Ovis aries: one gene and its partners. The protein of the gene in region 2 interacts with the protein of the main gene of each other region in a biochemical or structural test. Links are inferred from orthologs where the notes say so. Each region holds a gene or a part of one and is shown on either strand. Other genes may lie near its edges.

What was found.
Region 1: the proteins of UBE2M (region 2) and DCUN1D4 form a complex in vitro, tested with the Homo sapiens proteins (3 studies listed by BioGRID). The link is inferred for Ovis aries from reciprocal best matches to the Homo sapiens genes UBE2M and DCUN1D4.
Region 3: the proteins of UBE2M (region 2) and DCUN1D5 form a complex in vitro, tested with the Homo sapiens proteins (3 studies listed by BioGRID). The link is inferred for Ovis aries from reciprocal best matches to the Homo sapiens genes UBE2M and DCUN1D5.

The regions. Positions count from the first base shown.
Region 1 is NC_056059.1:68,453,469-68,463,973, forward strand, and holds the end of DCUN1D4 (DCN1-like protein 4), read left to right. Parts: intron 1-2,434; coding exon 2,435-2,539; intron 2,540-4,610; coding exon 4,611-4,775; 3' UTR 4,776-4,824; coding exon of another isoform or gene 4,825-4,880; 3' UTR 4,881-5,916; coding exon of another isoform or gene 5,917-5,972; 3' UTR 5,973-8,178; downstream 8,179-10,505. UniProt on the Homo sapiens protein: Contributes to the neddylation of all cullins by transferring NEDD8 from N-terminally acetylated NEDD8-conjugating E2s enzyme to different cullin C-terminal domain-RBX complexes which are necessary for the activation of cullin-RING E3 ubiquitin ligases (CRLs).
Region 2 is NC_056067.1:66,427,094-66,438,317, forward strand, and holds UBE2M (NEDD8-conjugating enzyme Ubc12), read right to left. Parts: upstream 4,577-11,224; 5' UTR 4,046-4,576; coding exon 3,937-4,045; intron 2,810-3,936; coding exon 2,715-2,809; intron 2,598-2,714; coding exon 2,559-2,597; intron 2,447-2,558; coding exon 2,343-2,446; intron 2,092-2,342; coding exon of another isoform or gene 2,037-2,091; coding exon 1,973-2,036; intron 1,879-1,972; coding exon 1,738-1,878; 3' UTR 1,357-1,737; downstream 1-1,356. Other genes in the region: MZF1 (myeloid zinc finger 1), read right to left, coding at 8,865-10,300.
Region 3 is NC_056068.1:5,191,717-5,202,221, reverse strand, and holds part of DCUN1D5 (DCN1-like protein 5), read right to left. Parts: intron 10,387-10,505; coding exon 10,295-10,386; intron 5,025-10,294; coding exon 4,954-5,024; intron 4,545-4,953; coding exon 4,453-4,544; intron 1-4,452. UniProt on the Homo sapiens protein: Contributes to the neddylation of all cullins by transferring NEDD8 from N-terminally acetylated NEDD8-conjugating E2s enzyme to different cullin C-terminal domain-RBX complexes which is necessary for the activation of cullin-RING E3 ubiquitin ligases (CRLs).

The DNA of each region.
Region 1 (10,505 bases), on a different chromosome or scaffold from region 2:
TAGCTGTATTCCTTGGATTTGTTAAGGTGACTTAAAAAAAAAAAAAAAAACAACACTCAGTGTTGATGGCTGCTTCATAGCATCCTGGGAGATTCAGTTCACTTAGTTGGGAACATCTTTGAGAATGCCATTAGGATCACTGTCAGAGAACCCCCGGGCGTGTCTCCATTTTGCTGTTTCGTGGATGTTTGCTCTGGGATCTCTCAGTTGTGCTGTCCCCAGGAATCTGCAGTGTTTGCAGTCATAGTCATTTGCACGTAGCCTCACCTCCCCCCACAGGCAACATTGGTGATCAGCGAGATGCCACTGTTCAGATTGCGAGTGCCTCCATAATATCTCTCTCTTGTTTGCTAGGCAGAAGATGGTGTTAGTGATTGCAAGCTGCTGGCTGGCACCCTGGCAGAGCAGGAGTGAGTGAGTGCTGTTCAGCTTTCCGGCCCTGTGAGTCTGATGCCTTCCCTCCATGTTTTGGCATCGCTGCCAAACACATGCATTGAAATCCTTCATGATCACCAGTTTGTCAGATGGTTGCACTGTTTCCAAGAGTCTGTCCAGGTCCTCTGTATCTTCTTTTCTGTCACCTTAGTGTATGTCCATTGTGATGGGGACGTGGATGGTATTGGAAGAAGGCACAGTGTGTATCAGGGCAAGACTGGCGACTTTAGGTCTAGTGAGTGACTGCAGGCTCCTCAGAGGGAGAGCATTTCCAGAGCGTCCATGCCCTCAGCCCAGCGTTGCCTGAGCTGTTGTTCAACTGGTGCCCGGTCCCGTGGTGCCGCGTGCGTTTCCAGCAGGTCCCTGGGTTTCTTCCATGGGACTGTGGAGGGTGCTTCATAGCGGGGAATGCTGCTGCTGCTGCACCCATGTGACAGGACAAGAGGAAGTCTGCTGTTTCCTTGCACAGTGCATTGCGGAAGCACGAGCCATGCAGTGCAACACCCCATGAGGCTCGGGGGCAGAAGCGGGGCCCCCACAGGGCGCCCTTCCCACTGTTGTCCTCTCCTCGGAGTGAGCCCTGCACCCCTGAGCAGGGCCATGCATGTGGCCAGGGGAGGGCAGGACAGGCTGCGGAGGGCAGGCCCCTCCTTGCCCTGAACTGTGGAGCCCGCCTCAGACTTCAGCTGTGTGGCCAGGACAGGGCCGGGTGACTGAGAGCCATCTGACCCGGCCTGTGGTTGCGTGGTCATCGTGCCGCACAACTGGGGCTAAAAGGCAGACCCGTCGCACATCTCCATTCTTGGCTATTGAGTGAGGCGCTTACGTTTGCTGTATTGTTTTAAGTCCTTTACTTTAAAATCAATGTCAGGGCCAGAAATTCTCCTTGTACTCAAGAGCACTTCACTGTTAGAATCCTTGAGGTAACAGTTTTATCAGGAGGTATGTGTGGCTGCATATGTGGCTGCCACGGGGTCATGCATCCTCCTTTAATCTGGTGAACATTGAGATTCCACTCCACATGAAACAGCCAGGCACTTTCTCCCTTTGTAGAAAGATACTTTTGCAAACTTTCTTTGAAACTAAGATACCATGACGAGGCTAGCTAGCATTTGATGTCTAAGGTTACCACTCAGGGTCCCAGGTCCTCTGTCCTTTTACATAGAAACTGCCCACTTTTTAGTTCCCAAATGGAATCTTGTAAGAAAGATCAGTGAGAAATTAGCATTCTTAATTGTAAATATCCGTAGAAGGAGCTTAATCTGCCCACATTCAGGTTTATGTAAATGTCTTTTCTGGATTCCTCATGCAATGTCGTCTTTCACTTGGCTGTTAGTTAGGGGTGTTCTGCTAGGAGATGTCGCATGCAGCAGATCTAAGGTAAGAAGCACTGTGGCTGGTAGACAGGTGGATATACTGCTTTCCCCCAGGGTGGGGGATGGAAGATTCTCCAGTGCCCCAGTGTTCATTATGAGCTCCACTGAACTCCATCATTTTTAGGTACAAAAAAAAACATTTACCAGTGAAATAAAATTGGTGGAAGAAAGATTTTTTTTCAAGGAAACCTGATTCCTAAGCATGAAATTTGAAACCTTTAAACTCTATTTAGTTAAGTTAAAGGTTTTGGGGATCAGTAATTATGATGTCGATAATAATCATAAATGTCAAACAGCTAGTGACTGAGTTATGGATTTTTATTTATCCCAAGAAATAATCACAGGTAACAATCATATCCCATGAAATAATCATAGATTAGGGTAATCATTTAATTGATATGAATCTTTCTCACAGTAAAACTCTATAGTACAAAACTGTTTAATCCTTCCATTATGTCTGACCACCTCTCCTCCCCCCTACCCTAGTCTTGATTCAGGGTTTTTATGGTGTATGATACAGGAGCTGTTTACTGATTCCTCACTGAAGTGAAATAGGAATTTGGATTGTTGAAACAGATTATTTGGGGGCACTTGGCTCATCCTTGTTTTTGTTTGTTAAACAGGAAAAGGACCAGCGAAGCCTAGACATAAACACTGCCAAGTGCATGTTGGGACTGTTACTAGGAAAAATCTGGCCCCTTTTTCCAGTTTTTCACCAGTTCTTAGAGGTACTAAATTGTTATTTTATGGAATGTATGTTTGCTTGCTTAGAACTACCAAGTGTGCTTTACTTGGTCCTTTTCTGTACTTTTCTGTTTGTCGTACTTCTCTGCCTGTAGGAACTGTGGCGACACACTTGCTGCCACTGAGCACATTCCCGAGTCCCGAGCGTCCCCACGTGTGCACTGCACACGCCCCTGGCCCCCCTGCAAATGCTCCAGACAGCGCAGCTCTGGCCTTTCCTCTCTCTTCCCCCTTTTGTTTGTGTTTAGATTTCCTGCTTTTTATAACGAGAGTGGGACAAGCTTTACCTTATTTTGTGGCTTTAGATGAAGCTCCACTTTGATGAAGTGAAGGTTAGAGAACAGCCATCCACTCTCTCACTAAGTTCAGTCTGTAACAAGTCCTTACCCACTCTCATCTCCAAGCAGCTTCAGTCTCAGTGGCCAGTTCCTTCATTTGGTATCTCCTGCAGTTTAAATTTTCTTCATGTTTGTGTTTGAAAGAACCCAGCACTTCCCTCCATTGTTATCGTTTGTTTGCTCTAAGTATTAATGAGAGAAATTCTGAGCTGCTGGTTATTAGGAACTGGCTCTGATGCCAATGTAATAATACTGTTAAGACCTGGAAGAACTTGAGCTGAAAGTCTGAGTTACTTGGGTTGTCATATATAGCCTCCTTCTTGCCCTCCAGTCCCCAAACCCCTTTAAAAATTGCTTTTTGCTTGAAAGGAAGAGGGTGTTGGATCTTGGAGAAATTCCTGGACTTTACCCTGACTCCAGCTTCACTCTTGAAATAATTTTCCTCACAACTTGTTGGTGTAATGGTCCAGAAAAACTTCTAACTGACAGGCTCCTTGGAGAACTGTTATTGAAATTTGCTTTTAACATTATTAACTGGGATTCCTGAAGAAAGGTATGAAAATAAGTTTTTAATATAAGAAGCACTTGTTTACATGACAGCCCATGTATACCAGTGATCTCTTCCAGCTTCTCTGACAATCCTCAAAAATGTTAGCTTTATTTGGAAAGTGAGTAGCAATGGGCTCCTGATCTCAGGAGGCTGGGAAGAATTTAAGGCTGGGTGTGAAGGTCCTTCTATAGCTAAAAGACTACAGCAGATTTGACTTCACACAGTTCCAGGAGCACCATCAACAGTGACTGGGTTTTGCTTTTAGTTGCTTAGAAAGTTACACTTATAGTCTGTGCTTTGTTCTCTCTCTCACACCAGTTTGCATTTTTCTTTTAAAAGGACCCAGTAATCCTTTCACTTGAGCTTTTCTTGTGTTTGCATCCTCCAAACCATTGGCTCAACTCTCTTTGCTTTTTATGTACTTGTTTTCCAGTGTTCCCGGTTTCAGTGGCAAAGATTTAAGAATTATCAGACTGGGTTTTATTTTTAGATTTTTATACAGGAATACTGTATTTTGAAATATGCATGTGTCCTTTTTCCTGTCTGGGAGGAAGAGAAAAACTATTTCATGGCTGTTCTTAGTCCTTTTATGATCAGACTCAAGTTTTTAATTATTAGAACAATAACTCTTCAGTGGCTGGACCACCTAGTCCTGAGACTGCTTGCAGCTCTTAGCAAGGTCTCGTTGAGTAAACCCACAGTGGCATGTGCCGTTAGCTGACAGCTTGACAGGAAGCATGATGTTCATGTCAGGGCCTGTTAATGGGAGCAACTCTTTATTTAGCACTTACTGTGTGCCACACACTCAATAAGGTGCTTTTCATAAATTATAGAAATTATCTGCCTTAAGCCTTACCACATCTCTGTGAAATGGATATTATCCCTCTTTTACATAAAAGGGCTTTTGCCATCTAGCAGTTGCACTTCTAGGGATGTAAAGATGTGTTTCTTTGATGCATTTGTTGTTTTATGTTGAGCCCCCATAATATTTTTGTAATTAAAATTGTCATCCAAAGTTCCCTTCTCGCCATCACTCACCCTTCTCCTAGCATGGTGCCTAACACCCCTCAAATGGACCTTTGTGAGCTGTTATCAAGTTGATTGTCACAGCAGTTGAAACTGTCTGATTTGTTGTGTTAGTAATTCATATTATTTTTCCTCCACCAGCAATCAAAATATAAAGTTATTAATAAAGACCAGTGGTGCAATGTGCTAGAGTTTAGCAGAACAATTAACCTTGACCTCAGCAACTATGATGAAGATGGAGCGTGTAAGTACTGGGCGGGTGTTGTTTTCCCCCTGTCTCCCGCGCATTTGCTCCTCAGCCTCTGAGAAGTCTCATAGCTGTGTTGTTCCCTCCCTCTCTTCTCTCTCTCTTCAGGGCCAGTTTTGTTGGACGAGTTTGTGGAGTGGTATAAAGACAAACAGATGTCCTAGGACTTTATGCATAGCAGCGAGAGAGTCACTGTTACCACAGTTATGTCAACCATTAGCCATAAATTGCTGTTTGTATCCAAGCGCATGCTGCTTTTCTTGCACTGTCTCCCTTTGGCAGGGACGTGTTGGTGTTTGCTATTGAATGGGCCAGCTCTGCTTGCTGTGTAGCATTGTTCTCTTGGAAGGCTGCTTTGCAGTTTGTATTTACACTACAGATTGGTGAATTTGCCAACGTCCTCACTGTGATTATGTGTATATTGCTGTTTAAATTTTGTATATGTGTATAAAAAGACAAAGCTTCACCTAGAGATTATTTCTGCAAAAATGTATTGTAAAATAATTTTTGTGGCATATTTCTAGTCCCTTTTTTCAAATGACCCAATTACACTTTTCTTTGGTCTCAAAATGTAGCATTTCAGAACACAAGACAGAACAGCTATTACCATATGCAAATGTTGCCAGAATTAACCTTATTATTTAAGAGGCCAACTTTGGAAGGAGGTGGGAGTCGTAACTTTTCAGAGGCGCTATGCCAAATCTAATTTGGTTTACTTAAATATTAGCATTTTGAAATGATGAAAGTTAGAATAATTGAACATATAGACCCATACCATGCCACAAATCATTTCCACCATGCAGTATATAGGTTTTGATTTTCTAATGTTAAAGCTGTCATAGTTTGAATATAGGTACAGATGAACAAATTACAATTGCACCTTTTTTCCCATTGGTTTTAAACCCTTGTACACTTTTTTAGTGCTTTCCCCCACCCCTTTTGCATTCTTCTAGTCAGTGTTTGGTCTGCTGATGCTTTCTATGCCATTCTAAGTAAAATTTATTTTGCCGCCTCCATGAAAACCTAATGGTTTGCTGGCAATTTATAACTGCAGAGCACTTTTAGTTGTGGCTTGAATTTTTAGTTAAGCTTTCATGGTGTCTGATTTTCTAGTTTTGCGGGGGCGGGTGGGGGGAAGAACTATACTATAAGTGAGAGGTGTTTTGTTTTGTTTTCCTTTTTTTGTTTCTTTCATGCTAGGCTTTTCCTGGCAGAATGTCCATTGCAGGCAGTGGACACGACACCACCAGCATTGAGCTAAAAACTCTATTACACGGTAGGACCTTTCCTGGAGGGGCCGCTCGTCATTACCTGAGTAATATGTACAGAGAGGTGATAGCCATTATTTATGTGGGTAAGGAAACAGAAGTAAACGGGACGGTATTTTTAGGTTTGTATTTTATGTTTTTGTTTTTTTCTTTTCTTGTCTTAGCCCTTCTCAAGGAAATGTATAAAAAACATGCTTCTCCCTCAACTCTCTGGTGCTATTGAATGACTTAATTTAGTCCCTAAAGTTTTGTGAGAACACAGTAGTCTAATGACTTAGACCGTCATTAGACAGTCTAATGACTTAGAACCAAGTAAAAGCTACTGGTGCATTTGAGCAAGTAAATGCATAGTTGTGAGCAGAATCCATGACTGAACATGTGACAGTTGGAAGAGGTTCAGATTATTTCAAAACCTGGCCCCAAAACCTTTTGGGTCAAATGTGAACCTTTAAATGGCATTATATGAGTAAAGCACACAGACAATGCTACTGTTTGACCACGACTTCATAGTTTCTTTGCAAACAGTGTTCAGATTTTCATATTTTGTTTTTCCCTAACTGAACCGCCAAAGACAGGAATTTTGTATGTATATACAGTGTGTGTGCATATACAAAATCATGATCTGGTAGAATGAAATTCACTTCCTTTTTCTACCAAATAGAAAGGTTTGGTTTGCTGTGAAATAAACCAGAAGTTTGAAAAACTCTGTAGTGATTAAGCATACTTAATCATTCCTTGTTTAGAAGCTGTAGACTCCCCTTCTACTTTACACATTCACACCAGTTTGCACAAATTCATCCCTGAAAAGAACAGAAGACGTTGACAGCAAGCACAGCTCCTGAGACCAGCGTGTTGAAAGGGCTTCCATTCCGACGGGTGCCTGTTAACTCCGTTGGCAATTGGCTATAGGCAGGTTCCAGCCTGTAAAGAACTTGATTCATTTTCAAAAGGATCCCATGAAGTTAACAAATCACACTTTAAAGGCAGCAGTTCTTAAATTCGATCAACTCTAGTTTTGTTTAAAGCAAATAGAAATCATCAATGAAATTATTTTCAAAGGTACTGTAAGAAACTGGAAAATTTTTTAACAGTAAGCACAGTTAATCCCAAAATAAGAGGGTGGCTACAGGGAAAATGTTACATTTTAACACACATTGAACATTTTGATGACAGGGGTTTTGGAAAAGCTAAGCAAAAATTATTTCATGATGTGTAACATGGAAGTAAGTATTCCAAAGGATGATCTTGCCTATTTAGAAAAGGCCAAATAATCTCTGAATTCCCTTGAAAAATAAATGTGACTGCAGCGTGCTTGCCCTTGGTTTCTGTGATTTTATGCAGTTATTTTTAAGGGGAGGAAGAGCCAGAAGTAATAAGATATTTTTTCATAAAAATCTCCCTAAGTTACATAAGTTGAGCAGTCACCAAGCACTTATTTATGGGCAAATGCTAAGTAAATGAGGGTGCCTTTTTCTGGTTTTTCTTTATCACCTACATCTCCACCCTTTCTCTCTTTCTGTCGTGTTTTGGCCTCCACGTTGCAATACTCTGTGATAATGGAATCCAACTTTTAGATGTTTACTGTTGCGGTAGGTCAGAAATTGCATTATTTTATTTGCCATAATCACCCTCTATAACGTTACGTGCAGCTTATTTGAAGCATGACCTCTGAACTAAGTTTTTATAAAGCTGACTAGACAGACTTCTAGGATCTGGATTAACAACAGACTTCTGTTGCCTCTCAGTCTCCATCTTAACAGTGCTTTTGAAGTTTATACAGAAAGCTTTAAAAGTTAGTTTGTGCCCTTGGTTTTTACTCTTACAACTGCTAAAATACCTCTGTAAGCCTTATCTTTTATTCTTTCATATGTTGTATAATAAATGTATAGAATCCATTGACCAACTAAATTGTTGGGTGTCTGTAAATGAGACCAAAATGTGGGTTGCTTCTTTTCATGAAGTCATTTCTCTCGGGGGTTACTGTCAGTGAACTGCAGCTAACCTGTAACTGTGAATGCTTCGTGTCGTCAGTATTTGCATCACCTTCATAAACGTGTGCAAGTCTGTGACTCCCAGCTTAACTGAAATATTGTTATGCCACCTAACTTGAGTACAGCAAACTGGTTTTAGGTTTTAATGGAATTGATGTAAAACGATACCCCATAAATAAAAAAGTTATTTGTGTTTGATTTCAGAACTGATCTGTTTATTTTTCTCTTTTCGTGGCTTTCTCTTTAAAAACCCCTTAAGGTAGTTTTAAACTTCCCTGGGTGGCTCAGACAGTAAAGAATCCGCCTGCAGTGCAGGAGACCTGGGTTCTCTCCCTGGCTTGGGGAGATCCCCTGGAGAAGGGCATGGCAAACCCACTTCAGTATTATTGCCTGGAGAATCCCCAGAGGAGCCTGGCGGGCTGCAGCCCATGCGGTCGCAAAGGGTCAGACATGGCCGAGCAACTAAGCACAGCACACAAGGTAGTTTTAAAGTATTTCATGTATCATCAAGTCAGCCCCAAGGCTACAAAAGTGAGGTGGGAAACATCTCCTTCTGAACTTTCTTCATTTGTTTGAACCTATAGAAAGGTAGGACCTAGTTCCCATGGTGCTGTGACGTGGTTATATCATACTGAAATGACTCATTTGAATGTTCTTCCCAAATTCTGGTGGGAAGAATAACTTTTAGGCAGAAGCTTAGAGGGAAGCTTTTGTGATTTCTTTAGAAAAGAATTGCCCTTGGAACTTTGTTATAGCTAGAAAGGAAAGAAAAAAGAAACCTATCACGTGAGCAAACAATACATCAGGCTTTCTGGCCCTGTGTACCTAAGCTACGCTTGTGGTGCAGGAGGTATTCCAAAATAAGGCATGTTCACCGCTTCAGGCACATTCAACAGACAATACTTTGGGTTCCCCGCCCCCAACCCCCCACCCCCAGTCGGTTCCTAACATTTATTTTCAATTGCCTTAACAAAAAATAAAATCATCCCATGTATAGAAGTGTACTTGCTGAGAAATTATGGTAAGTAGCCTGTGCTGAGAATAATAATTGGAAACTGAAAAACAAAAATTGACTGTAGTAATTAAATGGACATTTTTTAAAAATATCATTTAAAATGTAAATCTCTTTTCCCAAAGAAATGTATTCAGTCCTCTGAAGGAAATTCTTTTGCAGTTGCTCCCTGGAGAGTGGATTATGAAGAACTCTGGCCTTGAGAAAGCATGCTGAAGAGGTTTGGTTTTCCCTCTGACACTTTCCAGCAGAGGCATCTCAGAATTGCCTAATCTGAATATCTGAAATTCAAACTAGTGTTCTGTAGAAGTCTTACGATAAATGTATGATGATTAAAGAGAGCTGTAGTTGTACTTGTTACCAGTGAACTAACTCTCCAAAGAGTTTTGGTCTAACTTCTAATAGTATATTGAAAGCCACTGTGTTTTTTTTCCTCTTGATGGCCCATTATTTATTTTGGCTTCATTACTTGTTGGCTCCTACATATCCTACCTCGAGAGTAGGATTTGGACAAGGGTTATCCTATCATGGAGGACTTCCCTGTAGCTCAAAACGGTAAAGAATCTGCCTGCAATGCAGGAGACCCGGGTTTGATCCCTGGGTCAGGAAGATCCTCTGGAAAAGGGAATGGCAATCCACTCCAGTATTCTTGCCTGGAGAATCCCATGGACGGAGAAGCCTAGTAGGTTACAGTCCACAGGATCGCAAAGAGTTGGACACAACTGAGCGACTTCACCTCACCTCACCTCTGGATGGAAGGTCTTATGGTGATTGGGTGTAAGTGGCACCTTATCAGTTATACATGGTAGGCCAGAAAGATACTGACTCAGTTGGAACTGAGTGTCCCTTTTGGAGAGTTGGGCATTGTGGGGACTGATCCAAGAACTGTCCCTAAGGAGGTGCAGCAGTGTACACAAAGATACCAGTGGAGGTGGCAGAATCTTTCTAGTCCATCACGATGATTGTCATTACTTTAGCACACCATTGTTAAGTGTTTATGTGTGGATTTTTGTTTTGAGATCTGGTTATCAGCAGGCTGTAAGGATTCAAGGGATGTAGTCTAGAAGGCCAGTTGTTGACTTGATGACATCATGTAGCTCCTTTTGGAAGAGAAGGCGGCCAGTCAGACCATGTGCTGTATCCTGATCTCCTGGAAATACGTAGAGGAAACAGAAGTTCAGAGCGTTTGAGTGACTGGTCCTAAGTCACATAGCTGGAAGGTAGGGGAGCCGAGGTGTAAACTCAGGTGGATGTGTCTACCCAGAATTTGCTGGGGTGCTCACACAGTGTGGAGAGAGTTGGCCTGGAGGAGGATGAAAGTGTGTAAGCACTCTGTGCGCTGCTGGGTTCTCTGATGAACTTACTGGTGCCCCTCTCCTGCTAATTTTATTAGAGTTTGGGAGAAACTGGAGTTCAGGATTGGCCACTTTTTCAGAAGTGAGCATTTTAGGGATTTGTTGAGCATCAGTCAAGGAATTGAGGTCACTGGAGTAAGGCTATTTGTTGCTAATTAGCCAA
Region 2 (11,224 bases):
ACAGACGAGGACTCACAGAAAGGAAAAGGGTGAGCAGGGAGAAAACAGAGAGTGGAGCCTGGAACTTGGGGAACCCCAGCCACCCCAGCTCCTCTCACTCCACAGTGCCCCTACAGAGGTCCTGGGCTTCAATCTCCTCCTGACTCTGGGATGAGACCCTAGAATGTCCAATGGACCTAAGCTGGAGGTGACCATGTGTGGATACAGCAGGGGGACGGGCGCGGGGAGAGGGGGCTCGAAACCCGGAGCGCCAGGGAAAGGCCAGTTGACAGGGTCCCTAACATGAGGAGCTGGAGGCCGCAAGTGCTACAGACAGGGTCGATGTGGGGGCTCCGAAGCTGACAGCGCGTGGATGGCATTCAGTTTAGGGCGGGGGTCTTAAATGCTGAGGGAATTGGATGCGGAGAATAAGGCTGGGGGATGTTGGGGACTCCTGTACAGAGGGCGGGATTTTAGGTGATGGCGTGCCTTGTTCACCCAGGAAACTCTTGGGGGCTTTCGGGGTCTTGAGCACCGAAAGCAAAACAGCATGAGGACCCAGGAGATAAGGGAGGGCCCCAGGGAGGGGCGAGGCCCTCGAACACCGCCGCCCACGCGCCCACCCAGGGCCCGCGCCCCAGTAGGGGCGACTCACCGGAGTTGGGATGGGGACTCGCTTCCGTTTCCGGGTCACGCTCCTCTCATCCAGAGCCCTGGAGCGCCCACCAACGACAGCCCCTCTGTTCTGTCGCCTCGGCCGTCACCGCCGTTTCCGGATTAAACCACCTGACGTCACACGCCCCTCTGGCGCCCGGAATGCTGGGCGGGGCCAACAGCGCGCGTGCGCACGCGCCGAGGACCGTGCCGGCCACAAGCGCATGCGCAGCATTTTCCGTCTCGCTGCCGCAAGCTTGGTGTTCCGTAGGTTCAAGTCCAGCCTAAGGGAGCTGAGCCCCTGTCCCATCTTGGCCCCGTGGGCTTGATGCCCTTTCGGGCGCCTTCCTTCCAGCCACCCGGCGGTCCTTCACCCCACCACGTCACTCACTGTAGAGCTCTGCTCATCTGAGGGACCCAGAACTCGCGCTGATGTTTCCAAATCTCAGGTACCCAGTGGCACCAGGCAGTTTTCCTCCTCCGGTAGGAGGGCAGAACAGCAGACGGTGCGGACTTAGCCCCTGTGCCGGCTCACTGGCCGGGAAGCCAGTGGTCACTGGATCCTGCCCCTCCCTTGTCCCAGAATGGGATTCATCTCATCCTGCCTGAGGGGGAGTCCCCTCATACCACCTGTGAGCACACAACTCCCACCACTCTTGCTGCAGGAGCTCTGGCGGCCATCACCTGCCCCTCCCACCCCACAAAAGGAAGAGGCGGAGGCCATGCAGTAACATTCCCCTTTAATAGCCTGGTGGGACCTCCAGTGGTGGAGGGGTGGGGTGCCGGGTCCCCAGCCACCCAGTCCCCATGGCCACCCACCCCAGAGCCCAGAGTAGGGGGTGGGGCTGGACAGCACCCAGCGGGGGGCTAGACAAGCCAATTCATTTCCCATCGCTGAGCGGGTCGGGGGAGGCAGCGCCGACCTTAATCACATGGTGGTTAAAAAAAAAAAAAACTAGGAGCGGGTAGCAGGGAGGGGTGGCCGGCCAGGGCATGGGATTCCCCCACCGGCCGCCCCATTGTCCCCCCACCTGTGGCCCCCAATAAATATCTGCAGGGGACGCCGGGGCTGGTGGCCCTGGCAGGGGTGGGTATGCGCCAGCCCTATTTCAGGCAGCGCTCGAAGTAGGTGGAGCCGATATAACCACCCCGCATGGAGCGCTGCACATTCTGCTCAAACAGCCTCCGGTTGTTCTGCAGGACCTCGGCGGCTTCCTTGTTCAGTGGGTCTTCAGGGTTGGGCTCCTGTGGCCGGTATGGGAGGGGCAGGAGGTCAACAAGCCCAGAAGTCAGAGGGCCAACCTCCCCCAGCTGCCCTCCCACCCCCACCCCTACTCACCAAGAAGAGATACTGCAAGCCATAAATTATGGAGTTTATCGTAAGGACTGGCTTCCAGTCCTCTCTGTGGGCAGAGAGCATCATGATAGGGGCTGGTGAGCGGGCAGCCACCACAGGCCCTGCTGGGACCAGACAGGTCAGGCCCAGGGCATGGGACAGCACGATCGGGAAATGCTAGCGGGAGGGTGCAGAGAAGCACAGGCCAGAAAGCCAAGGTCAAGCCATGAGGAAGAAAACGCAGAGCTGAAGAGACAGAGGGACACACAGACCACAAGGGGAAGGGAAGGGAAAGAGACTGGTATAGTGCAAGGTCATGAAGGGGGCCTGGCAGGCAGGGCTGGGCAGCGTAGTGGAGGGCCAGTGCCCTCACCTGAGGATGTTGAGGCAGACGTTGCCCTCGAGGTCAATGTTGGGGTGATAAACCATCGTCTCACACTTCACCTTGGGGGGGTCATGCGGGTAACCCTGGCCCACCTGGCTCCAGGAGAAGAGAGGGCAAGTGGATAGGTGCACAGCAGTGCCTGGCTGGGGCCTCAGCTGTTGCTTCCTCAGCCCAGGGAGCCACCCCTGCACACCTGAGACTCACCTTAAAACTGAACACAAACTTCCCGCTCTTGTAGAAGCCCTGTGAAGGAAGAGGAGAGGAGTCAGAACCCCACTCTGCAAGGCCCGGCAGGTGAACCAGCCAACTTGAGGTGGTGTCACCTGCCGTGCCTGAGAATCCAGTTAAGCGTGCCCTCACCTCATCAGGACAGATAACCAGCTTGAAGTTGAGGAGGTCGTCTGGATCTGAGAAACTGATGTCACACGTCTTGGGCAGATTCAGCTCGTTTATGTCTGGGTTTTCACAGCAGAGAAGGGAAACAGGCCAGGAAAGGGGGAGATAGGGGGTGCTCAGAGCAGGTGCCAGCAGAGCCTCCATAACCTCTACCCAGGACCCCAGTTCTGTCCTGGGCAGTGGGCCACCCCCTCCTCCCTCTCCCTGCTCCTTCTGCTCCGCGTCTCCAGGCAGGCTCTTCCGTATCTATGGAACACTGCAGATATGCTGGAACTCCTGGGGGGCAAGCTCTAACTCTTCTGAATCCAGTCGTAAGTCCCCCAGCCCAGCTCCTACATGTTCCCACTCCTGTGTGTCCCACCCCAAATCCAGCATCCTGACCGCGACCTCCGCTTTCTAGAGGAGTCTCTACTTGTCTGCGCAGATGCAAGGATCTTATTTCCCTTCCTCACCCTAAATCACCACCCCCCCCAGTCCCTGGCCCCCACTGTCCATACACTCCTCTCTGCTTGTCGTCCTAAACTCAGGATCCCATCTGACCTCCAGATCTGTGAGTTCCCAAGCCTCCTACCCTATACTATTCTGAGCATAAGAGTTCCAGCATCTCTAGCAGGATGGTCTAAACCCAACCCTACTCCTATCTCTATAATCCCTGGTACCCAGCATCCCTCCCTCCTCCTGTCACCCCAAACTGACATGTGACTCACCCAGACCCACGACACCCAGGCCCCAGAACCCACTTCACCAGGTCTGACTCTGATTCCCAGTGACTCTAGCGTTAATACACTAAATCTCCCACCCCGATCCTCAATCCTCGGCCCCACTGTCCCTATCTCCTCTTCCTGTCGCCCAGGTTCCCATCTGACCCCCCGACTCTCGAGTTCCCGGTCTCCCTCTTCCGCTGCCACCCTCAGATTCTCGGTCCCTAGTATCAGACTCCTAGCTTTCCGAACACGCTCAGTGCCCCCTGCTCGGCCCCCCTACCTCCGACCACTTTGGTGATTATATTACCCCATCCCCGGCCCCTCGGCCCCCAGGCCCTGGTCTCCGATCCCCACATCCGCGGCCTCCCCGTTTCTGACACCTTTGACCCCTGGCAGCCGCATTACTCCACACCTGACTCCCGTATCACCCGGAGCCAGGCTCTGACCTCCGACCTCCACTCCCATCCCCCGACTCCCCTTACCCTTCTGGATCCGCAGCTGCGCCGCCGACGCCTTCTTGCTGCTGCCCTTGGTGCCGCCCGCCGACTCCTCCTCCTTCTTCTGCTGCTTCAGCGAGAACAGCTTGATCATCCTGCCGCCGCCGCCGCTGCCGCCGCTGCGGGGCCCGGGACCCCGGCCACCCGGCCCCCCGCCGCCGCCCGCGCCGCCTCCGCCACTCGGACCCGCCGCCGCGGCCTCTCCGGCTGCTGCCGCCGCCCGCCGGGCCTGCCGCGCTGCTCCGCGCCCACCGCGCGGCCCGCGTCGGCTCCCGTAGTCGGCTCTGGCCTGGCCCGGCGCCTCGGGCCCGCTCGGCGGCGTTCGGGCCCGCTCGGCTGTTCTCGGGCTTACTCGGCCCCGCCCCCACCCGCCGCTCCCTCCTCCCGGCCGTCCGCTCCGGCGTCCTCAGGCTCGGCTGCGGACGCGGGGTCCTCAAGCCGTGTCCCTGGGCCTGGTCACTCGCTCTCTTCGCGAGGGCTCTGCGGCTCGAGGCGGAAGGGGGAGGCGGGGGCTGCGATGGCCGTGCACTAGACAGGAGGGCCGGCTTCCGTGGCAGCAGCGGCTTCGGCGCGGAGGTCCGCAACGGCCTCGGGCGCCCCACCGCTTCGGCTATTTCCGTCGCCTGCCCGCTTCGGCTCTTCCCGCCCGGCCTGCGCTGTGCGCTTGCGCAGCCGCTGCCACCGCCCCACGTTGCTCCGCGCTGGGACTTGGGGATCGGGCTCCTTCGGCTTGGTTCGGGTATTTCCGTTCGTGCGGGCCGGGCCGGTCACTTCCGGGGACGCCCGCGAGTCCAGGGAGGAGGGGGATGGCGGTGTCGCCGCCATATTTAAGTGGGGCAGATGCAGGCCGCCTCACTTGCGGGCCGCCATGCCCACTCGCAGTTGTGCGGACGGCGGCATAGACGGGCCAAACAAGGGGCTTGACCCCAGGGGCCACAGACGGAGGCAGGGTTAGAGTCAGAGCCTGAGCAAGGCCAGGAGCGTGGCCTAGAGTGCATGACTCAGAACCTTCGGGGTCCCATCTCAGGCTCAGAGAACCCGCCTGCAGAGTTTGGTTGAGGTAAACTAGCAAATAAAACGTGTCAGAGGATAGTATAACACTGTGGAGGTTTACACGGGCTCACACGCTTGGGGGCAGCCCTCCGCACGGGTCTAGAGTTTGCCCGCAGGCGACCCCCGGCCTTCCGCCATCTCCGTCCGCGAGGTGGGCGGAGCCAGCCTCCCCTCCAATCACAGCTCAGCGTGCGTTGGAAGGCGCGAGCAGGCGGCGCGGAGCGGTTCTGCGACTTCAGGCTGTCACCGAGGACTCCGTCAGGCGGTGAGCGGCGCCACGAGGGCTGGTCGGGGCGGGGGGCCGGGCCCGGGGGGCGGCCGGGGCTCTGCCCCTGAGCCTTCCCGCGACCGAATGAGGCTCCTGCCGCACGACCCACCCCGTCGCTGAGGCGGCGTGCCGCCGTCTTCTGGAGCACAGTGGGAGTAGTCCGGCGGCCCAGTTGGGCCCGCGCTAGTGGTGGGCCATGGCCTCCTCTTGGCTACCCCGGCCCGATCCTCACCCCAGAAAGTAACCTCCACCTTTTCGGGCCGTGATTTGGCGTCCCTGCCGACCCCAGCCTCCTCTCGGGTACCCTCGGCGTCCTTGGGCTCCGTGGTCTCATATCCTAGTCGTGGCTGTTGCAGCCGTTCCCTTTTTCTCCCGCTTGCATTCTCTTTCCTCCATTCCAGAAGCCCCCCTTCAACCCTCTGGTCGTCCTCGCCCCAGACTGCCGGCTTCGTTGATTTCCTTGAGAGCTGTGTGCTGGAGAGGTGCTGGGGTGAGGCTAAGCGATTGGAAGCTGCAGAAAACCTCAGGTTTGGGGCGGATGAGATCGCAACCATCCTAGTGTTCTCAGGCTTCAGGCATGACTGTTCCTGGGACGCGGAGGCCTCTTTCAAACTCAGTTTTCCTTTTTGTTCTTCTCATCCGCTCTACTCTTGGTGATTATTTTTGTACGGCACGTGAGGGTTGATGACCATCCTGCAGTTTCCAACCAAAGTCTCAGGGATGGTTTTTATTGGCCAGCCTGGTTCATGTGTCCATCCTCAGGCCAGTTAATGAGACCCTTCAGCTAAGGTCCCATCTCGGGATAGAGTATTGATTCCCTGGAGAGGTAACAGTCCACAGCTAGACTTGTGTGATCTTTGATCTTGTGGCTTCCCCACCGTGCAGTGGGTAAAACTTCATCATGAAACAAAATGCTAAGCAAAGGGGGCCATAGTGTCTGGACCGAGGAGGAGGGGATGGCCTAAGTGAGGCAGGCGGCTGGGTTGGAGGTGGTGCAGCTAAGCTTGTCACCTTCGTGCTCACTCACGTGGCAGAGAGGCACAGGTGGTTTGGGTGGTACAGGTGCTTGCGGCCCTTGGTCCTGCCGCCTGTTAGTAAGCAGCACAGGGCTTAATACATGCAAAGGCCCTGAGGCAAGCTGGGGCCAGTGCTGTGGAGGGACCGGGCAGAGGAGTGGGCAGAACCTGGTGTGTGGGCTGCGAGGGTGAAAGTGCACCTACGATTGTTACCCTAGCCTCTGGGCCCTGGCACTGGGAAGAAGGGGTCTGTCCAGGGAATGGCCTCCAGGCTGGAGGTGGATGGCTGGAATCAGAGCAGTGCTGATTGGTGGAGACAAGTGGATAGATTTGGGAGGCTGGGGTGCTGATGAGAATAACTAGATGGATGTGGCGTGGGGCAGCCGGCTGGGCTTGGGAGTGGACAGTATGAACTCGGATACAGACAGTCTGGGGACAGGCTGACTGGGCACTGTTGCAGCTTTCCTAGATGACCAGTGCTTAGGTAGTCCTCTCCTGGGTTCTTCTATGGCTCTGGCCAAATGGTCATTCTGTCCAAGCCCTCTGTCTTGATTGCATGGTAACACTTGGGTCTTGCCCTGTAGCCAATGTGACTGGATTGCAAAGGTGTCCCTGGTCAGCTGCCCTCACATAGCTGTTCACGTTGACTTCTTCTCAGAGGGCTGTTTTGGGAGGTGGGTCCCTGGACTTCTCAAGGATTTGGGTGTGGGGTCCCATCCAGATGTCCCCATGCTTTTCATGTTTGTTGTGATTTTTCCTGTGTGGAATTTCATGTTTTTATGTAGTTGTATCTGCACAGATTTCATGATGAGCACAAAGATGACCAAAGATGAGTTTTCTTTGTTTCAGATTATAAGTCACGCAAGTCATAAAAAAACCCCCACATTACAGGATTTTATAAAGTTCCGGCAACATTCCTCCAACCTGAGACCACTAGCTACTGGCCACCTGTGTTCATTCGTGTGCCTTCTCTGAGCTGATTCCTCAGCCGCTTTCTGTCTTCCTCTTCCCTCTGATTCTACATATCTCACACCAGGGTTCTCAGAACCGTTTGTGACCAGAGAACTGAGTGCTGTCAAAGGGCCCAGGGGACCCCCACCCCCACCCTGCCCCGCCTCAGTCCTGATCGTGCGGCACAGGAGTGCCCCTGCCTTGGGGAGTGGCAGACCTTGCTGGATGTAGTCCAGTCCAGTCCGGTCCAGTCGCTCAGTCGTGTCCGACCCTGTGCAACCCCATGAGTCGCAGCACGCCAGGCCTCCCTGTCCAGTAGATGCCGAGAGTGGCCCTGGTTGTGGCTGGCGCTAGACCAGCGGGGAGGGGGAAGGGGAAGGGTCGGGTTGGGGAGGAGGGGGCCTGAGGCTTGGAGCGGGCCTTCTCTCGCGTGCTGGTAGGGAGCCCCTGGCCCAGGCTGCTTGTCTTTTCCTGATACCAGGGCCCAAGTCTTGTAGGGACTGGGGCAACTCAAAGTGGCAGGTGAGGTAGCAGCTGTGCTTCTGGAAGGGCTGTTCCTAGAACCCTCTAGATCTCTAGACCAAGATCAGGCTGACTCCAGTCTAGGGTGAGGTTCAAGTCCCAAGCCAGACCCTGCTGCATGAATATCCCCTTTTTGGAACTGCTTTTCACCCATGGTCTCTGGTCCTTCCGCCATCCATTGGGGGAAAGGGGGGCCGTGTCAAGGCCCCAGCAGTAGGATGGAAGGGGAGGACAGGGCAAAAGCAGCAGTGGCACAGGAAAAGGCGGGAGGGGTCCAGAGGTCCCGCCCTCAAGTCTGCGGAACTCTGACCTGGAGCTGCCAGTGTCTGTCCACCTGTATGTCAGCAGCTGGTGTGTCCTGTGACTAGTTACTGAACACACATGATAGAGACCTTCCAGTTGGGGGGTACTTAGGGGTTGTGCCTGGGGCCAGGGAGGGAAGAGAACAGCCCACGACAGCACCTGGAGGGCTGGGGAACTGGCCTAGCCTTGCCGCCAGCTTTGGTTCTCAGACCGGATGGAGTCTGTGGGAACAGAGGAAAGTCTCCTAAGACTAGATTCCCACTTAAAACCTTACAGCTTTTACAGCTAAGATATGGCCGCCTCGGTTTCATAAAGACATAAACTCAGGCTGGCAGTGGACTAATGGCACCCATCTGATGCTTCAGCACCCAGTGGTCTTGGCTGGCTGGCAGGGCTGTGCCCTCCTGGTCCTCTGCTGGCCGTTGACTTGGCCGGCAGAGAGGTGGGTTGAAAGCAAATAGCACAGAAGCCCTGCTGTAAGGGGACGTCCTGCAGACGTGGGCAGGCCCTGCCAGAGGCCACATCTGCCGGGAGCCCTGCGTCTTGCAGGAGCCCCGTGGTTACAGAGAAGGTGGTAGACCTGTAGTGAGGGCTGAGAGGGGTCCAGGCAGGTGGGCAGACAGTGGGTGCAGACCCAGACAGAGGTTCTGTGCGTTGTTTATTGAGCACCTACTGGGAGCCGGGCCCTAAGAGAGCTGGGTTGTACCCACGCGATCACGGGTCTCAGCAACCCCATGAGGTAGGTGTTCCCCGCACAGCCCGCCCCCAACGGTGGACGGTGGCGGGGCCGCCTGCCCCGGCTACTCTGCACTGTGCGCGCGCTGGTGCTGAATGAGCTTGGTGCTCTGGTGGAAGCGGCGGCCGCAGTCCTGGCAGGCGAAGGGCTTCTCGCGCCGGTGGGTGCGCAGGTGCTGTGTGAGCGTGGGCCGCTGGCGGAAGGCCTTGCCGCATTCGGGGCAGGTGTACGGCCGCTCGCCTGTGTGGATGCGCCGGTGCTGCGTGAGGTTGGCGTGCTGCCGGAAGCGCTGGCCGCACTCGGGGCAGGCGAAGGGCCGCTCGCCCGTGTGGATGCGCTGGTGCTCGGTGAGCCGGGAGACCTGCGTGAAGCCCAGGCCGCACTCGCGGCAGCGGTAGGGCTTCTCGCCCGTGTGCGTCCGCTGGTGGCGCGTGAGCCTTAGGCGCTGGCTGAAGCGCTGGCCGCACTCGGGGCAGGCAAAGGGCTTCTCGCCCGTGTGCACGCGCAGGTGCTGCGTGAGCGTGGGCCGCTGGCGGAAGGCCTTGCCGCACTCGGCGCAGGTGAAGGGCCGCTCGCCCGTGTGGATGCGCCGGTGCTGCGTGAGGTTGGAGCGCTGGCGGAAGCTCTGGCCGCACTCGGCGCACCGGAAGGGCCGCTCGCCGCTATGCACGCGCCGGTGCTGCAGCAGCACCGCGCGGCGGCTGAAGCGCTCGCCGCACTCAGTGCAGCCGAAGCACTTGTCGCCCGTGTGCACCGCCTGGTGCTCCAGCAGCACGGCGCGCCGCGCGAAGCTCTGGCGGCACTCGCTGCACGGGAAGGGGCCGGGGGGCTCGGGCGCGCCGGGAGGGGCGGGGGGCGCGGCGCTGGGGCCCGGCGGGTCGCCGTGGATGCGCTGGTGCTGCAGCAGGTTGGAGCGCTGGCGGAAGCTCTGGCCGCACTCGGCGCAGCGGAAGGGCTGCTCGCCTGTGTGCACGCGCCGGTGCTCCTCCAGGCGCCCGCTGCGGACGAAGCCCTGGCCGCAGTCGGCGCACACGAAGGGCCGCTCCTCTGTGTGCGTGAGCTGGTGGCGCAGCAGGTGCGAGCTGCGGCTGAAGCTGCGGCCGCACTCGCCGCACACGAAGGGCCGCTCCCCGGTGTGGATCTTCTGGTGCCGCAGCAGGTTGCTGCGCTGGCTGAACACCTTCCCGCACATGTCGCAGCGGCCCCCTCGCTCAGCTCCGGCCCCTGTGCCGGGGCGCCCCCGAGCCCGGCTGCGACCCCTGGGGACACGCCAGCTCGCCACGGCCAGCCCGTGGCCCAGGCCCTGGCGGGCATCCTCCGTGGGGTCCAGCTCACCTCCCAGGTTGCTGGAGAGCGCTAGCGCGTGTGAATAGCCACCTTCGTGGGAGGCTGACCCTTGTCGGCCTGTGAGGCTGGCCACACCGAGGTCCCAGGGCAGGTGGACGTGGGGGCTCACGATGTCCGGGTCCACAGAGACGTTGTCCATCTGGGGTGTAAACCCTGCATGGCACAGGGGGATCCACTCATGCATGACAGAGAACCCGCTGGTGCCCAGAGACACGCCAGCCCTGGGGAAAGGGTGTGAAATGGAGCGACCTAAAACTGCCCAAGGAGGCAGACAGAAGTCACCTGGGCAGGGGCAGGGGTTCTGTCTGAGCAGGCTTCCGAAGGCGGTAAGGATGGGACAGACAGGTGGAAGACTGAAAACTGGCGACCGGCTTTTCACGTGTGGCCTAAGTTTGCAAAACCGCCTTTCTGGAAGGGCTGTAGTGCAAAAGTGGCCCTTGCACTGGGCAGGTGGGTGATGTTGGTTCCCACAGATGCAGAGAAGTGGGTGGGTTTGAGGGAGGCTGGAAGTGGAGCGAACAGGTGGGAAATGCAGCCACCAGGACTTCTGTCTGCTGTGCCCTGCCTGTGATGACAGCGCGGCTCCCGAGGCGCTGCTGAGACCTTGTGCAGCCACTGGGGAGTCTGGCCCTGTCTGTAGGGAAGTGTGGACGTGGTGCCGTGGCATTTGCAGGGCACAGGAGGCCCTGGGCCTGCCTGCGATTGGACAGGGCTAGGCATCTGGCTCAAAGGAGCAGGTTCCAGCCAGGCTGTGAGCACTCCATCCTTAGATGCTGGAGGAGGGAGGAGATGCAAGCCTGGCACGGAGGAGGAGGGAATTACGTCAGGGACACAGAGAGAGGAGCAGGGGCTTCAGGGATGACAGAAAATCTATAAGCTGCCATGGAAAACGTAGATAAATTATACTGCATCAAAGGAAATCACTTGTGTTCAGCAAAAACCCTCAAGAGTCACATGATGAATGACAAACTGAGAAACCCTCCAGAGTCAAGGGTGTAATTAACCAAAGTAGCAGCAGCAATCAGGCGACAGGAAAGGATGTGGGCAGAAGACTGGAAAAGGAAGGGGAATATCACT
Region 3 (10,505 bases), on a different chromosome or scaffold from region 2:
ACTAAAAAGAAACACGTACTATAAGTAGTACAGCATGGAAAATAAGAATAGTCTATTTTTGAATATCAAATAAAACTATAGTTTTCGGGGAACACTGGCACAATACAATAACCATCTTCAAAGTCACTGCTGTTAGAATGAATAGAAATGGGTTTAAATTTCAACATAAAGGCTTAGGGATTAATTTCCTAAATATTGTTAAACATTTTATTAACAAGAGAGACTTGAATTTCCGCTTCATTAAAATGAGAGAAAATTTTCATTTAGGTCTAAGTGAGGTTTTCTTCCTTAATCTTCAAGTCCTAATAAGAATGCTGTGACACACTGATGCTATAATAGGAAGAATTTTATTCACAAAGTTATGGATGTAGAACATTCTCTGAATCAGGTCTATTGACCTCAATACAAAAATTCCACCTCTGGAGGCATTTGGAAATGTGGAGAGGGGGCATTCTGAAACAGTCATGGTGACTCTGCGGCAGAGCAAAGGGGAAGAACCACACCAATGACAACTGGTACTTGGGCCCCAAATGCTAAGTGAATGATAAATCATATGCCACATACAGTATAGCATACAATCTACTCAAATCTTCTACTCTCACCAAAACAAATTATATAAATGTTCCCCATTCATCTCTCCTGTAGGAAAGTAAAGTCTGTCAAGCCTTTACTCTTCAAAGTACAGAGTTCAACATGGAGACCAGAGGGTATACAATTTGTAGTCTACTGGAAGACAGCTTAGTGTACTATCGTTCTCATCAGATCCTATTCTTTCTTTCTTCATGATCATAATCTAGTATACTCTTTTCAAAGATCTATGCCCACAATTTTCTCTAACAGCATGGTAATTCATCTTTGCTCCAACAACAAACTTTCAGCTGGTACATGTGAGAAAATTCCTTTGCTCCAGTAAGTATGGCAGAATAAAATTTTCAAGTATCCTTGGAATCTTGCCGCTATAGATCCAAGGAAGAAGATCCATATGCAACATTTTGTGTGTAGCAACATATGTGCATTATAACGAGGATAAGGTTCACAGTTTTCCTTAAGATTTTCAAGAGTATATGATCTTAAAACATTTTTTAAAAAATCAACTCTATTGAAATCATCCCCCAAATCTTTGATAATTCCTGTGCTCAATAACCTGGTGCCTTCCCAATCTAAAACATATGGTTTAAACTCTCTCAACATATTACTCAAAGTCCTGCATAATGCAGTCATATCTCAACTATCTGGAGTTTAAAACTGCTGTCAGTTTCTTTTATGTACCTTTTGATTCCAGCAAACTAGACATATGTTTTTCCTTCTCGAGGCTCTGCTTACAGTTTTCTCTTGAAACATTTTTCTATATCCTCAACCATTAAAATCCTAATCATTGTTCAAAGGTCTAGTTCAAACGCTACACCCACAGCGAAGACTTGCCTGTCTACTCAGTGGTAATTAATCTCCTTAGCAGCTGTGCTTTCACAGTATCTGTTACTTTTACTCAGCACCTGTCCCATCCCACATGGATCTATGGTTTGTTTCTCAGTCGTATCCAACTCTTCAGAGACCCCGTGGACTGTAGCCCACCAGGCTCCTCTACCATGGGGTTTCCCAGGCAAGAATATTGGAGTGGGTTGCCACTTCCTTCTCCAGGGGGCTTTTCTGACCCAGGGATGGAGCGCACATCTCCTGGATTGCAGGCACATTCTTTATCGCTGAGCCACTGGGGATTTACTTATATTTACAGTATTGTAACACTCTCCCGCCCTGCTAGAATGTAACTAAGTAAAAGCTGTGTCCCATGCCTCACTGTGATCACCAGTAAGCAGCACAGTATCTTAGATAAAATAAGGGTAAATATCTATTAAATCTGACTTGAAGGGAAATTTGACTATTAATAAACAACAATGAAAACAAAATAAAGCAAAATATCTGGAAAGGATATGGCAATCACATCCCCAAAACTTACAAAATGACCATTCTACTCCAATTATGTACAAATTCACACCCATAAATTCTTTCAAACAAGAGAAAACAACAATTCAGTTATGGAAAGTCTATGTGAATAACAGCTTTAAAATAAATAAATGTTTTCAAAAAAAGTATTATGAAAACAATTAAGTATTACACAATTACAGATTTTAATTAACCATGATTATGATATTCTACTATTCATGACCATAATGTATGTCTTAACTATCAGACTGTTTCTATTCTTTAGCAGAGCTGTACTCAAGTTTTCTAAGGGTTAAAATTAATTAATTTGAAACAGCTGATAATTACATTAAAGTGATTCAGGAGTCATCAAATAACCATGTTCAGGTTAAATCCTAAAAATAGAAACAACTATAAAAAGAATGAAGTCTGTAAAATTTTATACTTCATAATTGTAAAAACCAAGTATACTAGAAAACTATACATTTTTAAAAAAACTAAGAGCTCTGTCTCTCTTGGTTTACTTTGAAAACTATTTTATACATGTTCCTTGTAAGAGTATTCAGGGGCTAATAAGACTTACCCAACTAAGAAAAGATACTTTGTACATCACATAGCAATCTAGATCATCAGAGGAAAAAAACTATTTTCCCAGTCAAGAATGCTTGCCTAATTTTAGTAACTTCAAGGCTCTACACTATAGAGCTCTAGGCAAATGGGTAGGGGATAACATGAGTGAAACAAAAACCTCTGGGTCAATTTTAAGTGCTAAATATTGCTTTTATTATTTAAAGCCTGTGAACTTCCTGCTGGAAAGATTTGCTAATAATCAACATGTTCATGGGTTCATCAATTTTCCTAGCATATACCTAAAGTCATATGCAAATACTAGAAACATTTTTGTTTATATATGTTATCCAGAGGCTCCTTATATAATATCAAGTTATTCAAAAGCAATTAGAAACTTTTGGTTTAAAAATATGCAAACACTTGTTAGCTGAGATATTGAAAAAAGTAGGACAAAAGCAGCAGCAGAAGAGTACAAAAAGCAACTGTAATGCCAAATAAAAGGTCTCACAATTAACGAGCTATGTGACAACCAATACAGGTTTTAATAAAACAGACTGAGCTGTATAAAATTCTTTATATTCTTTGCATACTCCTGTATATTTATCTTTCTCTAAAAAGTTAATTAAATGGTGGCAAACAGCTCAAAGAATTTCAGAAGCAACATTATTTTAATCTGCCATGTTATGACACCTAGATGAATGGCAGAATCTGCAGTCCTGGTTAGAAACACTATGATTTTAAAAGTTAATAATGGCCTTCTATTTTATAAAGACTGCTAACAAAGGAAAACACAAAGGAATGCCACAATAGGAACTGCAGTATGGTAGACTGGTCATCAGGAAATTAAAATTCTAGCTCTGCTATCCTTAGTTCCATAGGAACTATGTAAACTTTGGCAAAAATGCTCTTCACCTCTCTGAATTTCAGACTCCTCATCTCATCAAGAAATAATAAAAGTGAGAGAGTTGACTTTGTGTTCTCTTTTCTTTATATCTGTGTGTTTGTATATACACACATAAAATATCTAAATGTTAATCCTGGTTTAAGAAACATTAGACACTGAAAATTCAAAAATATTTAAGTTTCATATGAACAAATACACTTGAAAAATCAGGTATCCTGAAAGTTAAGGATAGGCAAACAAGGAGTAAACAACAGTTAAGCGTGTTAATTAAAATCATACAACAGGAAACTAATTAACCTCCAGTTTGGGGCTCCAAAAATATTATAAATTTATGCTTGCTCTATTTTAGAATGTTGATTATTAATTACTTCCTGGATGAACATCAGGAATATGACATAATATAAAATTAACACACAATTACCAATTGAAACTAAGCACACTGTACTCTGGAAAGCCAAAATCAAATTATTTTTATAAAGAAGCAATTTTGTGAAAAAGAAGTAATTTTGTAACTTATAAAAGCATTCAAAAGCAGCATACAATATGAAAGTATACAACTATAAAATGGCTAAATGTTGCACACTTATTTATTAACGCCAAACAATATTTCTTTTATTCTTTAAAACTGTCATGTAAGTCACTTCAAATTTCTTTTTTAAGTTAAGTATAAAACTGAAGAGAGAGGAGGTCCCAGAGCTCAGAACTGCTGAAGAACAAACTACTCAAGTAGTAGAATTCTGTATTCTGAGAAGGAAGTCCCTCATTGCTCAAACATTCCATGAATAAATAACTTCTATCATAAAGCTCTAGTTCATGCATCAGGAGAATAGGTGGGTTTTAACAGAACTGTTCTTAAAGATTCTTTCTTAGAAAATATGAAACATGGAGTAACTGCTCATTTGGCAAAGACCATAATATAATTTTTTTCAATCCTAAACTGATTATTATAGATAAAACTAATTTAAGGTGAAGACTTACTCCTGAAATTACGAAGCACAAAATATCAATTAAGATTTTCAAATAGGCCATCAAATTTGTTTTTTAAAAAAATTTCTTACTGTAATGAAGTCATCCCCTTTAACCATTCTTCCTTGGTAAAAAATCCCATGCTTTCAGCCTCCAATTTCCACGCTAAAACTAACATAATAATCTGGAAAGAACAGAACATAAAGGATAGGGGAGAAGTCAGCACAGAGATTATCATGTCTATATTTATCATGGAGAGCATTTTTATACAACTATTTCCATCCTTCAACTATTAAAGAGTACAATCTCTGGAATTATTAACTGTAAAGAAATTTAGATGGGTCAATTTCTTAAAAGCAAAATATTCTAACAGTTTCTGAAGGTAGAATCTCTTACTCTATTACAAAAGACATTTATATCAAGAAAGATAATACATGCCCACGTTAAATTCACTTAAAAAAACCTAAATGAAAATCTGCAATATTCATGAAGAAACAAAATTTTCTTATAAGATTAAACTGTTCCAATTTTTAGAAATTTATGAATATTCTATACCCCACTTGCATTCCATTCTACTTAAAAATAAAACATACATTTTCAGGTTCAACACCAATGTCTTCACAAAATTTTTCCATTCCTTCTGGCCCTACAACTTCATCAGGACCTTCAAAGACAAAAATAATTTATATATTTTATTGTTATAACTTTATATCAACATAAAACAGAAGCCACTGTGTTAAAGGAATTTATGAATACATAACATTTTTTTGTGAATAACTGACTTTGAATTTTTACATGCCTTTGATAAAGTATGAATATTTGTACAGATTAAATTTTTTTAACTTTGAAATCCTCTTTGAACACATTATAAAATATAATAAAGGACATAAAAACAAACATTAATGACAATCACTAGGTTGTACAATTAAAAATACATTTACTGAGAGCTTCCTCTGAAGAAATTTTCTGACAATGCATCAATATAAAAAAGCACAAGAAGGTTTGAGCTCCTTATTCTACTAGAATGTGCCAGTACCAACCCACAATTCAAGACAGTAAACAGAGGAGAACAAAGGAGAATATCTGTTTCTTACTAAACCAGATGGTCATTCATTAACCTTCTGAAATATATCCATAAAAATTTAATATTTTTTAAGATATAACAATAATGATATAAGAAAATGGCTACATTGAGATTCCAGAATGAGAAATTTTCCAAGTAAAGCATGAATACTATGTAATCTTAATGTAGAAATAAATCCTTAATCTCTCAATTAGCTATGTCTATCATTAGTTCAAAAATTAAGGACATTTTTCCTATTTTTTCCCTTAGTAACACTAAACATAAGTCAGTACATCAATTTTCCTATTTTGTATGTTATCTTTTGCTTAGTAAGAGTAAAACAAATTTGTGACAACATAGATGAACCTCAAGGGCATTCTGCTAAGTGAAACAAGTCAGAGAAAGGGAAATACAACATGAGCTCACTTGCATAAGGAATCTACCAAAAATAATCAAACTCAAATACAGAGAAGTGATTGGTGGTTGCCAGAGGCAAGGGTGGGCAAGATGAGTGAAGGTGGTCAAAAGGCACAAACTTCCAAACGTAGTAAGTCCTGAGGATGTAACATGGAGCAGGATGACTATAGTGTTAATAATACTATTTCGAGTATTTCAAAGTAGCTAAGACAGTAAATTCTTAAAAGTTCTTATCACAAGGAAACAAAATTTGTAGCCATGCGTAGTGACAGGTGGTAATAATTTTGTGATAAAATCATATATCATTATGTTGTATACCTGAAATTAATATAATAATATACATCAATTTAAAAGGCTAAAATAAAATTTTAAACTAGATATGATACAAATATGTTTACCACACCTGGTTTTTGAAAGAAAACACAGTCTTCAAACATTAAAGTAGCTAAGAGAAACTTGTTTCCTTTCTTAAGGACTAAAAATACTCCAGCTTATATGTCATGGACTAGACCAAGGCTGCTCAGGTGGCATTTTATATCACCCTCTTTAGTTCATAAGCACAACATGCGGCCAATGTCCTATGGCTTTTCTTAGTAGAAAAATGTAACTACCCAGTATGGGACCAGTTAAGCTTTTATTGTCTCAGATGAGGTCCAGACTGCTAAGATGATATTAACACATGATCTGAAACTAAATGTTTTAAAAATTCTTTGGTCTAAATAAGTATTGTACTTTTTTATACAGTGAAATGTTAAAAGGTTAAGGAGTGATAATTATAGGAAACTTTCACTTCCTAATATACATTTGGACACTTTTTTTATGAAAATGTGTTAATTACATTATTTTAAAAGCACACATACATAATTAAGGTGTTAAAAAATAACCGAATGTGCATCCTTATATGTGGTTTGGATGAAAATAAAAACCAGATAAAGAACTGAATGGAAGAAAACAAAGTTTTGTTAAGTCATGATTGAAATATATTTTAAACTTTTCTAATGCAGCAAGAAAGCAAACTTGTCCTCCACACTGCCATCACTAGTAATTGTAAGAGAAAGCTGAAGAGTCATATCAAGAAATATCAGTTACTGTCATAAAAAATAGCCTCCCTGGAAAATGGGAGACTATTGATTAAAATTTGATAAAAATCAAATTAAACTGTATTATATAAAGATATATAAGATACATATAAGACCTTTTTGTAAATGTCAAGTGACTTTCACAAAACAAATAACAACAATCTAAATCTAAAACAAGTCTATACTATAATGTTCTTTTCCCCAGATCACATAACATCAATTATACTTCTTCAAACAAACTCTTCCAATAAAACTACTTCCAGGGTAAAACCTCTGGAGTAGAATTTAACTATTTCAGGCACAATATGGGTTTCTACTCAACTTAAGAAGCTATGAAAATGATTTAGTTCACTCTACCAGCTGGTAACTTTACTGCTGCTGCTGCTAAGTCAGTTTACTAGGACTAAGCAATTATATCCCCCTTTTTTAAATTCTTTTTAAGACTTTAAAATGCCTTTTCACTTCCAACACCTTTCTTCAACAACAGGCCTAATATATTCCCGAATCCTTGCCAATGCAAGTATCACTCAAAATGAGAGGTCTTATGAAAGGGAAAAACTATCAGGCTTTTCACACACCACTTATGACCTACAATATCTTATTAACAAGATTTGTGGTAAAACATTTTGTTGCAGTTGTTTCGCTCAACTGTGTCAGACTCTTTTGTAACCCCATGGACTGCAGCCTGCCAGGCTTCTCTGTTCATGGGATTTTCCAGCCAATAATACTGGAGTGGGTTGCCACTTCCTCCTCCAGGAAACGCTTTTAAAATTTAAAAGAAAATCAATTTTCTGATGGTTTAATAACCATATAGTTCCCAGCTATATCTGCAGGGTCTAAAACAATGCCAGCCAGAGCAAATGCTCAGGGGAAAAAAAAATCTGCTCAAAGCATGACACAGCACCTTAAACATAAGCTACATAGGAGCTACATTGTTAATTTTTTGGAACAGTATTGTAAAAATATACAACCAGTAAATCTGATGCTGCAATACTATCACTCTTTTAATAATAGCTAACATTTATTGGGTTCTAACTACATACCAGGTACAGCACTAAGTGTTTTCTTTACATGTTTTATCTTGGAAGGCACAATTATTGCCTCCATTTTAAACAAGGACATCTCAGTTACTCTAACTGACAGACAACTAGCACCTCCTCATCGTTTAGGTCTCTGATTGAAGTAATCTCCAGAGAGGCCTTCCCTAGTCAGTTTATTTGAAAGTCTATCCCAACTTTCTACTTTCCATCCCTGCATCACACAACATTACTTTTATAATCTTCCACCATGTGTAATTATCTTGCTTACTTACTGTGTCTTCCCCATTAGAGGGCAAGTCCCCCAAGGGTAGGGATCTTGTCTGACTTGTTCACCACTATATTCCCAGCACTCAGCACAGTGCCTGACACATGGATACAAGTGCTCCATAAATATGCATCATTAGATGAATGACAGAATATTAGTTAACCTCAAGTATACTTACTAATATTTTTTTTGGAAAAAGAAAACTGGCTGCCGTGTACAAATTTTAAAACAAGATAGTAGCAGCTAAGCATAGGCTACATGGTCAGAATGACCGGGGTTTGAATCCAGCCTCTTGTCATTGTATGATCTTGGGCAAATTACTTGATCTAAGCCTGTTTCTCATCTATAAAACAAGAATACCACCAACTACTTAGCAGAATGGTCACAGGAAAAAAATTAGATAATAAAGAATAAAGATAGCAATTAGTTTGCTGGCTATCAAAAAATGTTGGCATAGAAAATAAATGGTTAACTAAATCTAATCCTACCCTACCCAGGAAAGTCCCTATGAGAAGTAAAACAATCAAGCATGAAAGAAAGAAAAAAAAAAAAAGACTAATTAATTTTATGTATCTAGTACCCTTTATAGGTGAAATAAGATGACCAGCCTTTGATTCTATATCTTCCCATGCATACCAGTAAAACTGGCATTTTGAATACTGGGTCAACATTTCAAATGGAGGTCAAAAAGAAAATGAATTCCCTCTATTTAATTTGGGTTAGTGGTTGTCTTGGGATGCCAGTAATAGCAGCTTTTCTGGTCTATAAAGAATCTGTTCTGTTACTAAACAATTTTTAAATTATATTGTTGAGATTGCTCAGAGGATACCAACAGTGAAGCTACTGTCTCTCAAAATAGTCTTTTTCCATACATAACCTAAAAAACTAAATCTTAAGTTCAAAATTCCCTTGAGATCTAAGCCTTATTATCACTAAATATAAGACAATGACTGCATATACAGTGTTTTATTCTAAACAAACACTCTGAGGATGATAGGTAAAAGGGGGGAAAAAATCTCCAAAAAACCCAAACAGGGAGGCAGGTAAAAGAAGGAAACAGTTGGGGGTGGAGGGCAGATTTAAAATCAATAATTCCAAAAAGAACTAAATCATTCTAATGATTCTATGGGGAAAAAAATGTATAAAAGTTAATATGAATTAATCTCCCCTTTAACTGCTATGAAGAAGTTAATAATAAATGAGAAACAAGTTTCTTTTTCATATACTCAACTCTGGCCTCATCCCAGGCTTTTGACTTTTACCTCTGAACTAGTCTCATCCTAGACCTAGAGTTGTTCATTCACCACCTATAGGATTTAGTGCAGGTTAAACTAGCTTCTTCAAGAAATTTTCAATGACACTTTCAAGGTGGGGTTATATACTCCTCCTATGAACTCTCACAGTGCATCTTCCTAATATATTAATAGCATATAGAATACTATACTAACATCAGTCTGTTTACTTCCTTATTTATTATTGCATCTCCAGTGGAAGTGAATGGCTAAATAAATGACTGTGCTGCTGCTGCTGCTAAGTCGCTTCAGTCGTGTCCGACTCTGTGTGACCCCATAGACGGCAGCATTAAACAGGAAAACTGTCATGGAATGATATATGAGTTTTAAATCTTTTACTATGTCTTCCCAAAAGTTTCACAAAAAAAAGTTTCAGAAAATACAAGCTTATGGTTCAGAAAAACTTCAAAGAAAACTGAAAAGAAAAACAAGAACCATATAAAGTATAAAATGTTCTATTACACACTGTTTTCCAGAATACTAACTCTACTGTAGCCAATGGACATAAACCAATGATGAATCTATTTACAAATTTTACTAACAGTAAATGAGTTTCACCCTACCCACTAAACATATACTGAATTACATATTTAAAAAGATATCAGCCTGAAAGGGCACAAAATTCTTAGCCTAACCATAATCCTCAGTCTTGACCCTGATCTCATCACACAGCACTAACACACAGCAGGCCTGCAATAAATATTTGTCAAATGAATGAACCAAAAAAAAAAAAGTTTTAAAGCATGTGACTGATATCTTCTTATATTAATTTCATTACCTGCATACTCATAAAACCAAGCCAGGCACTTCTTGCTTGAAAAATGTTCCTCTCCACTTATTAGTCTAGCAGGGGGTTGGGATCTGCAATAGCTTAGAAAACACACAAATGCCTAAGAATTTCATCAAGTCTCAACTTTTAGTGAAAAGCTAAGTTCAATATGAACTACTTCAATTCAAACCAAAGTCTCTCTCTCTTTTTTTTTTTACAG